Caenorhabditis elegans: one gene and its partner. The protein of the gene in region 1 interacts with the protein of each later gene in a pairwise test. Each region holds a gene or a part of one and is shown on either strand. Other genes may lie near its edges. The genes, in order: ZK632.10 and lap-1.

Region 1 (3,488 bases):
TTCCGACGGCAAACGCTTCAAGTGGAGCAACAGGAGTAAGAAGAGAGCTACCAAACACTGGAGTTCCGATTAATTCAAACATCGATTCTCCTAGTTTTACATCTTTTCGAATCGGAGTCAAAAGGTGTTTTTCTTCTGTTGAAGCAGAGCCGTCGAGTATTATAATGGAATCTTCCTGGAAAAGTAACTGATATTGAATTTTTATTTTAATTTAATTTACTTCTCCCGGAGTATTGAACTTGTCAATTTTGATTTCATCACTTGTGATTACTATAACATCATCATCATCTTCATTAGCGAACTTTTTATGTTTCGGAGTTGATTTGGCTCTTCGTTTCTCCGCTTTTTCACTTTTCTTGAATATTTTCAGCAATTCATCTTGATAAACTGAGCAAAATACATCTCTTGGTGGAATCTTGAAGTCTTCACGCTATAAAAATGTAATTTCTAAAGTGACAACATATTTGTTCTTACATCATTTAGAGAAGATTGTTCTCCATTGAATCCTGGATACCATACAATTTTCGATGTATCTAATTCAGGAGGCTTCACTGACATTTCATCATCTTCTTTGGATGTCGAGTCGAAGAATTTCAATTGATCGGTGGATTTGATTGATCTGAAATTAATAACAATATTAAATTGCATAAATTTACCATTTTCATACTTTCTCAACCAGCCTGGCGGATATCCATCGATTAACCCAAGTCTTCTCATTCGATAAATGTGCTCCGGAATATCATTCCCACGCAATCCAAGAGCGGCTCTTAATCTATCGCTGATCACACCAGGTTTGAAATGTTTCTCTCTTTGTTTTGATATTCCAACGTCATTATAGAAAACTCTTTGCCTTCCATCACCAGATTCCCTCTTTTTCCTTGAAATTCGTCTGAAATCTTTCCGCTGAGTACAATCTCTCAGGTTGTGTTCGCCATCACAATTGAAACAAGACTGAAACAAATTCCTAGTTTAAGAAGCTTTGTGAATGAATAAAAGCTTACTATTTTCTTTCTAATGTTATTCTCCTTCTTCACAGTTACTGGGGTCGAAACGCTTCCGAGAAGAGTGCATTCAAGGCGTTTACGCCACTCGCTCGACCTGCAATGAATTTTTATTGGAAAAGTCATTGAATTAACTATATATTTTTTTACCCTATATCTTCTCCACTTTTTTCTACATCTTCTGCATTCAATTTTCTTTGTGGAGTGATGGTGCGATCAATGACGAACTTCTGAAAAACAAAAAAAATCAACTGAAGTGAATATTGTGAAGGTTACCTCAAACTCTGTTTCCGTTCCTTTCATTGTTTCGCTTTTTTCTATAAGCCCAGAAGAAGTTCTTTTTCTAAAAAGGAAAATATCAAAAAATTCGATTATTTTCCAAAAAGAAACCTTTTTCCATTGAAAGAAGTACTCGGCTGCTTCCGCTTCAACGAAACTGGTTGAATTTCTTCAATAATCTCAATATCGGACATTATCTGAAAATATTTTATGAGAAATTATGAAACTAAATATTTTAATAATAATTTTAGTGACAAAAATAAAAGTTAATTGCGAAATTTCCAATCAACGCATGTTTTTTGTTTGTGGGTACGGTACACATGTACGCAAACACCGAATCTGTATGCAGGTTCTGTGAACATTCACCGTAACTTGTTTACATGTTTGTTTTTCAAACTTTATTCTTTTTTATCAAAAGAAAATCAGGTTTTCGCATTATTTTCTCTTGAAAATTGCTACATTGATTGAAGATTAAAAATAATATTTCTAAAATTAAATTGTTTTCACAACATATTTAGCTTTACAATTTACTGTCTGAAATAAACAATTACAACCCATACTAAAAACAATTTTCACAGTATTTCTACTTCTTCTTCTGCATTTTCTTCAAATGAATGATTCTGACACGTCAACTTTTATATTAAAAAATTCCTTAGGCACCAAGCACCACATTTCATGCTTCTCTGTATTAGAGCACGAGAGTTCTGAAGAGAGAGCAGACACACAGCGATAGCCAACGAGCGAGGTGTTGTCTTGTGATTCTAACCACAATCGCGTTCGTCGATTGCGCAATTTTTTGATTCATCGTCAATCGATAAACCTTCCGTGTTGCTGGAAGTGATGACTTTATAGTTTAATTTAATCACCGAAATCTCACACTTTTTTAATCTATCTTCAATACTTGCAATTCTCCCAATAATCTCTGTTTTTCAGCTCAAGTCTCGTCGAAACGAAAACGAAATGTGCCAGATTCTTCTCGCCATCCTTGCAATTTTCCTTCCGGTGAGTTCTTCAGTCTGAAACCATTCTTCAACCACTATTTTCCAGCCAATCGCTGTGCTTCTGGATGTTGGATGCAACTGTGACCTCCTCATCAACATTCTTCTCACCTGTCTCGGGATCATCCCAGGAATCATTCACGCGTGGTACATCATCCTTTGCAAGGAGAAGACTGTCGTTCAGAACATATACGTGCAGACTGTAAGTGGATAGTTGGAAAAAAGATTAGCCAAAAGGAAAAAGATAGTGATTTGTCAAATTTCAGAACAACAGATACCCTTGAATCTTGATAAAATGGTGACTTTTTTTTTGAAATTTATTACAAGGGGGTCGGTTTCTTGTCCATGATTCATCCTACTGTTTCCTTTGTTGTCTTTCTACAAAGCTTAATAAATGTTTAAATTAAAATTATTTCAGAATGACCACGGAACCGCTCCACCAGCTTATTCTCCTTATTCGGCTTAAATGCTCACGACAAGACACGTTCCTACTTTGCGCTCCACGACATAAATGTATTTCTTTATCCTTTGTAAACCTTTAATTCACCCCTTGCAATTTTGACTTATTGTCACAGGTCCATGATCAAAAACTGTATCACTTGCCGAATTTTCTCATTCTAAGGCCTTAATGAGATTGTGTTCATTCCCTCCATTGAAAAAATAAATCATTCCTCTTTTCGATATACATTGTTTTATTTATCACCATTTTATGATCTATCGGTGCTTTGTTCCGATCGATTTATTTTTTTTGTCTTGTTTGTTCGTTTCTTTTTTTTCTTTCTTGCTTCTTTTTTCTTTTTGTTCTGTGCCTTCGATGACACCGCACCAATATATCTAGCAGAAACAAGTCAGCCCTCAAAATGTGCTGCTCTGCGTCTCTTTTCATTTTTACTTTTTTCGATGGTCTCCGCTCGTCTATCCATCACGTGTCTCTGGCGCCAACGCAAATGTATAAATACGAGTATTTGAATGAAACTGTCCGTCTGCTGTTGATTCGCTAAAAATATTCAGGCAGATTTCTATTCTTGAAAAAAAGCCTGAAAACGTTACTTTATTTCTCACTTTTGTAGAGCTTTTCTACAAAAACGCACTCTCATTTAGAGTTGTTTTTCATTCTCCATTGATTTTTCTCATTTTCGACCTTTTTAACATTTATTATGGCTGATAAACGCAATATAAGTCAGAATATTAAAAAAAAAAAACGAGAAAA
Region 2 (5,535 bases), 1.4 Mb from region 1:
TCGCTCAGTACTCAAACCGTATCCTTTGTAACATGGGTTTTATACCCACTCACTGCTTTTTGGAATATTTTCTGTGGTATGATTGGCTGGAATTCTACCGGAAAACAACAAGACTCGAAATCTAAGAAAAACGATGGGCCATCTACATCGGGTCAATCAGGATCACAACCACAAAGACGCGGGATGCCAAGGAGTGCGGAAGTTCGTCGGGTTTGTGTGCATTGTTATTTTCTTTCCATAATGAAATTATTTTCAGCGTGGAAACGTCGCAGGGCTTGAAAATCCGAATGAAGACGATCCTGAAGAGCGAGCCAGTTTCAATGGAAATTCTACTCAGTTCATGTAATAATGTAAATTTCTTGTCGCCTGTGATTCCAACACCAAAAGTTCATCGCCATGGATAATTTATTTTTTGCTCGTTTATAATTCGAATCGAATAAAAGTTTTCATTTATCCCAGATATGTTCAGTTTTCTTGCTGAGTTTTCGGATTTTAAACCATAACTTTATACCTATTCTTTACAATGTTAAAAACATATTTTCTCAAACTCTATTGTGTTAAGATGACAGAAACAGAATCCCAGAAGCAAATAAAACTGGAAATATGCATCGATAATCTGGAATCTGCGGAAAATGCTGTTGCCGGTGGAGCTGATCGATTGGAAGTTTGCTCAGCTTTACAACTCGGAGGGCTCACTCCATCCGTCGGATTTGTGTCTATTCTGAGCTACAAGTATCCCGATATTCCACTTTATTGTATGATTCGCCAACGGGCAGGCGATTTTGTGTATAATGAAGACGAAATGGCAGCGAATATGGAAGACGTTGAATGGCTCAAAAAAGCTGGTGCCACAGGATTCGTTTTTGGAGCATTAACATCGTAAGTCGGAGAGTTTTAAATTGAATGAAACAAATAAATATATTATAATTTTATTTCCAACATGTTTAAATGAAAAAAGAAAAACATATTCTTGTTTCATTTCGAATTTTTCACCATTTTCCGCAAATAAATTCTCAATCAAGTTTATCAATAAAAATTTTACATAACATTTAAATAATTATTTTTAGGCTGACTTAATTTTTGAACAATGCGGAAAGCTTGTTTTTAAAAAACATTTAAAATGCATAGACATGCGGCAAAATTACGAAAGAAGTTTTGTAATTATAACGGTTGATTGCTCTGGATGATCCACAAAAAATTTCAATTTTCAGAGCCGGTTCATTGGATCGTACATCATGTCAATCAATAATTGAAACTGCCCGTCCACATCCTGTCACATTTCATCGAGCAATTGACGTCGCCTATGACTGGAAAACTTGTCTTGAGGACGCTATTGATGTTGGATTCAAAGCTGTTTTGACAAGTGGACAAGAGCCGTCAGCACTCGACGGAGTTTATATCATTCGAGAAATGCAAGAACTTCACAAAGGAAAGATCGATGTTCTCGCAGGTTGTGGTGTGAACAGTTCGAATGTCGCGAATCTTGTCGAATGGACTAAATGTCACTGGTATCATGCTTCAGCTTCTGTTGCCAAGAAAAATGCTCCATTGAATAAGGTGTCAATGGGAAAACAGGACAATCAGCCATCACGTGTCACTTCTTTGGAAGAAGTACGGATGTTGAAAGCGACATTGGCCCCCGTTTAATTATGTTCAATTCTTTTTCATGTCATATTCCAGTCTATATTGCATGCTTCATCATAGTTTCTAACATTTTCATTGTGTTTTGCAATTAGTTGGCTAGAATTTTTCTGTACCGAAAGTTATTTATTAATTTTAGAAGCTCACTAATCAATTAGATATTCGAAGTAGCATGTTTTTTTACTCTACGGGATTGTGAGGGTTATCAATTTATTTATGCCTAGGCAACTTTAATATAGGAGTTGATTTGAACTTAATTAAAATTTTAAATTTCGCTCCTCATTATTTCACAACCTCTCAAATTTTAGACCACGAATGTATGCAAACACGCGCCCTGAAGATTTGTTCCTTCTCTCAATTTCTCATTTTTTTGCTCTACATTTTCTCTCGCCATTTTTTATCATCCTTTTCTCGCATTTATGTTTCTCTGGTCACTCTTTCTCTACCTGCTGGAGGAACTGATAAACGGTTTATTTGAGTAATAATTTTTACACCTTTTTTCTAAAAAGAGTTTGCCTTTTTTAGTCTGAATACTATAGTTTATACTTTCCAACTTTGTTTTTTTTTAATTCAAAAGGTTTTCAAAGTTTCTAATTTCAGTGATTAGTGTCACCTAAAAATGACACAAGTCCTCGTTCGTAACGGGATTCAAGCTGTTGGAGATGGCCTGACTAGCCTAATCATTGTTGGAAAGAAGAGTGTCTTGAAAAATGTGACTTTCGAAGGAAAATTCAAAGAAGTCGCACAAAAGTTTGTTACAGGTTCGGTTTTGGTAGATTACACAAACGCGATGTTTTTTGATTTTTGTCCAAAATTACGGTACATGGTCACTTTCGTTTAAAAAAATTCATATATATCTAGAGATATCTATATACATACTAAATATTAAACATATATTAAATAAAAACACATACATTTTAACAAAGCGCGGAAGAGACTATGGAAACATACCCGTGCGGCATTTGGTTTCGGCATTTGAACAAAATGCACTTTTTCATAAATATGAAAATACGTATATGTATGAAATAGCATACGATGAGAAGCCTGACTCTTAGGCTTGTCACCAGTCAAAAAAATTTCAAAAAAAGTTTACCCCTGCTCGAGATATGCACCCAAATGCCGTATGGCGAATGCCGTATGCCGTATGCCGTATGACGTATTTTCATATTTATGAAAAAGTGCATTTTGTTCAAATGCCGAAACCAAATGCCGCACAGGTATGTATGGAAAATCATGAACCATTCAGAATAAATGAGATTTTGAAATTACAGTACTCTAAAAGACCCACACCTCCCTGTAGTTTACAAAAATGTCTCTTGTCGAGACCTGGTACCGTATGGTTGGTGTAAAGAGAACAACATTTTGCATCTGCAGATGGTTCATACTTTTCCATAATATAAAAATAATTTCAGATGGCGACTCATGGAACTCTATGATTTCTCGAATCCCCGCCTCAGGACGTCATCCTCTTCACTACGAGCTGGCTCATTTGATCACTGTCCCAGATGCCTCTTCACGTGGAAATACCCCCACTAATGCTCATTCGATATATAAGGAGTTAAAACCAATCAACTATCCTGAGGATACAAAGAATGTTCATTTTGTGCTGTTTGCTGAATATCCAGATGTTCTTTCTCACGTTGCGGCTATTGCTCGGACCTTCTGCAAGTTCTCGATGAAAACTTCAGGAATTCGTGAACTGAATGTGAATATCGATGTGGTTTGCGACAAGGTATGTGACAACTATCCTTCATTTTGATATATTGATCTGTATAGTTTTATCATCACTGATAGACAGCAGACACCATGTGCTTGCTTCTATTTGCAAAGTCAGCCTGGAGACTATTCTTTTCTGGAATTGTGTGCTGATAATGTAGAAATACGATAAGAGTTTATTGCGTAGTGTGACGAAATTAAAAAAGAGGAACTAGTAGAATCATTTGATAGCTTCTGCAAAATTCGGCGGTCTTCATGAACTTCCGTTGATAAGAAAGTTATGTGTCCTTCAAGATCTCAATCTCAAAATCCGAATTAATTGTTTTGTTTTAATTGAAAAACAAACATTCAATTTCTTTGCAGCTCACCAACGAGGATGCAGTTTTCCTTACTGATCTCTCAGAATCGGTCCGTGAAACCGCAAGACTCATCGATACTCCAGCCAATATCCTGACTACTGATGCTCTTGTTGATGAAGCAGTCAAAGTTGGAAATGCGACTGGATCAAAAATAACAGTGATCCGTGGGGAAGAACTGTTGAAGGCTGGATTTGGCGGAATCTATCACGTCGGAAAAGCTGGTCCAACACCACCTGCGTTTGTTGTCTTGTCCCATGAGGTTCCTGGATCGACGGAGCACATTGCACTTGTCGGAAAAGGAGTTGTATACGACACTGGAGGCTTGCAAATTAAGACCAAGACTGGAATGCCAAGTATGAAAAACTTCAATTATTATTTATGAAAATGGATTTTTTCAGATATGAAAAGAGATATGGGAGGTGCCGCTGGAATGCTTGAAGCTTACTCTGCTCTTGTCAAACACGGTTTTTCACAAACTCTCCATGCTTGTCTCTGTATTGTTGAGAATAATGTCAGCCCAATTGCAAAGTATATTTAACTTCAATTCAATTTTACTTTATGATTTAATTTCCAGCAAGCCTGATGATATTATCAAAATGTTGAGTGGAAAGACCGTCGAAATCAACAATACTGACGCAGAAGGTCGTTTGATTCTTGCTGACGGAGTTTTCTATGCAAAAGAGACTCTCAAAGCAACAACTATATTCGATATGGCTACTCTGACCGGTGCACAAGCGTGGCTTTCAGGACGTCTTCACGGAGCTGCTATGACAAATGATGAACAGTTGGAGAACGAAGTTGGTCATTCATTAAAAGAATAACAATTTAATTTTTACATTCTTAGATCATCAAAGCTGGAAAGGCTTCAGGAGACTTGGTTGCCCCAATGCTTTTTGCCCCGGATCTTTTCTTTGGTGACTTGAAATCTTCTATTGCTGACATGAAAAATTCGAATCTCGGAAAAATGGATGGACCACCATCTGCAGTCGCTGGCCTCTTTATTGGTGCTCACATTGGTTTTGGCGAAGGACTACGTTGGCTTCATCTTGATATCGCTGCTCCCGCTGAAGTTGGAGATCGTGGTACAGGATATGGTCCAGCTCTTTTCTCGACTCTTCTTGGAAAGTACACTTCAGTGCCTATGCTCAAACAGTAATTGTCCCGTATTCAATGATTTCAATATACGTCATGTTTATTTCTGTGTATTATGTCTGGGTTTTTACTTATTTTATTTTTAAACTGCATATAAATGGTGAGGTAAATACATATCGAAACCTTCAAAATCACAATTAATAAGTTGATTGTCAAACATTGGAATTATTCACGATTACGAGCTGACCACACACATCCGGCTAGACAAGCACAAAGACATACGAAGAATCCAATTATGAATATGACAAGAAATACTCTGAAATTCAATCAAAAATAAGTGTTCTTGCATTTCTGAAAACTTTTTAAAAACAGTTAAACTCACACAACCCATGTCTCCAATTGTATACAACATTCATAAGGACTGTAGTCACAACAACGCCAACGATAAAACACATTATCTGCTCCACATCTTCTGGAATAACGAAGAGTTGAACAATGATCTACTCAAAATAAACAAACCCATAACCTCCATATCCACCATATCCACCGTATCCTCCAGCCATTCCACCAGCCATTCCAAGAACTGATCCAAGTATTCCACCACCACAATTACCGTATCCACCATATCCGTATGACATTGTTTTTTATTCTGAGAAAAAAAGATTTTGAAAGGAACAGTAACCTGTAAAACTAGTGGACATGGAGACGAGAGTACAAAAATAGAACA

What was found.
Region 2: the proteins of ZK632.10 (region 1) and lap-1 interact in a two-hybrid assay, tested with the Caenorhabditis elegans proteins (one large-scale study listed by BioGRID).

What each region holds. Positions count from the first base shown.
Region 1 is NC_003281.10:9,825,904-9,829,391, reverse strand, and holds ZK632.10 (UPF0057 membrane protein ZK632.10), read left to right. Parts: upstream 1-2,213; 5' UTR 2,214-2,240; coding exon 2,241-2,282; intron 2,283-2,327; coding exon 2,328-2,480; intron 2,481-2,696; coding exon 2,697-2,744; 3' UTR 2,745-2,958; downstream 2,959-3,488. Other genes in the region: ZK632.11 (uncharacterized protein), read right to left, coding at 1-175, 221-430, 475-619, 668-951, 1,002-1,098, 1,152-1,231, 1,278-1,344, 1,392-1,474.
Region 2 is NC_003281.10:8,398,635-8,404,169, reverse strand, and holds lap-1 (Leucine aminopeptidase 1), read left to right. Parts: upstream 1-2,241; 5' UTR 2,242-2,260; coding exon 2,261-2,402; intron 2,403-3,053; coding exon 3,054-3,373; intron 3,374-3,720; coding exon 3,721-4,069; intron 4,070-4,114; coding exon 4,115-4,244; intron 4,245-4,290; coding exon 4,291-4,513; intron 4,514-4,560; coding exon 4,561-4,872; 3' UTR 4,873-4,978; downstream 4,979-5,535. Other genes in the region: ubxn-4 (UBX domain-containing protein 4), read left to right, coding at 1-210, 257-346; cutc-1 (Copper homeostasis protein cutC homolog), read left to right, coding at 563-879, 1,212-1,647; ZK353.2 (uncharacterized protein), read right to left, coding at 5,034-5,124, 5,191-5,280, 5,328-5,446. UniProt on the Caenorhabditis elegans protein: Probably acts as a digestive enzyme.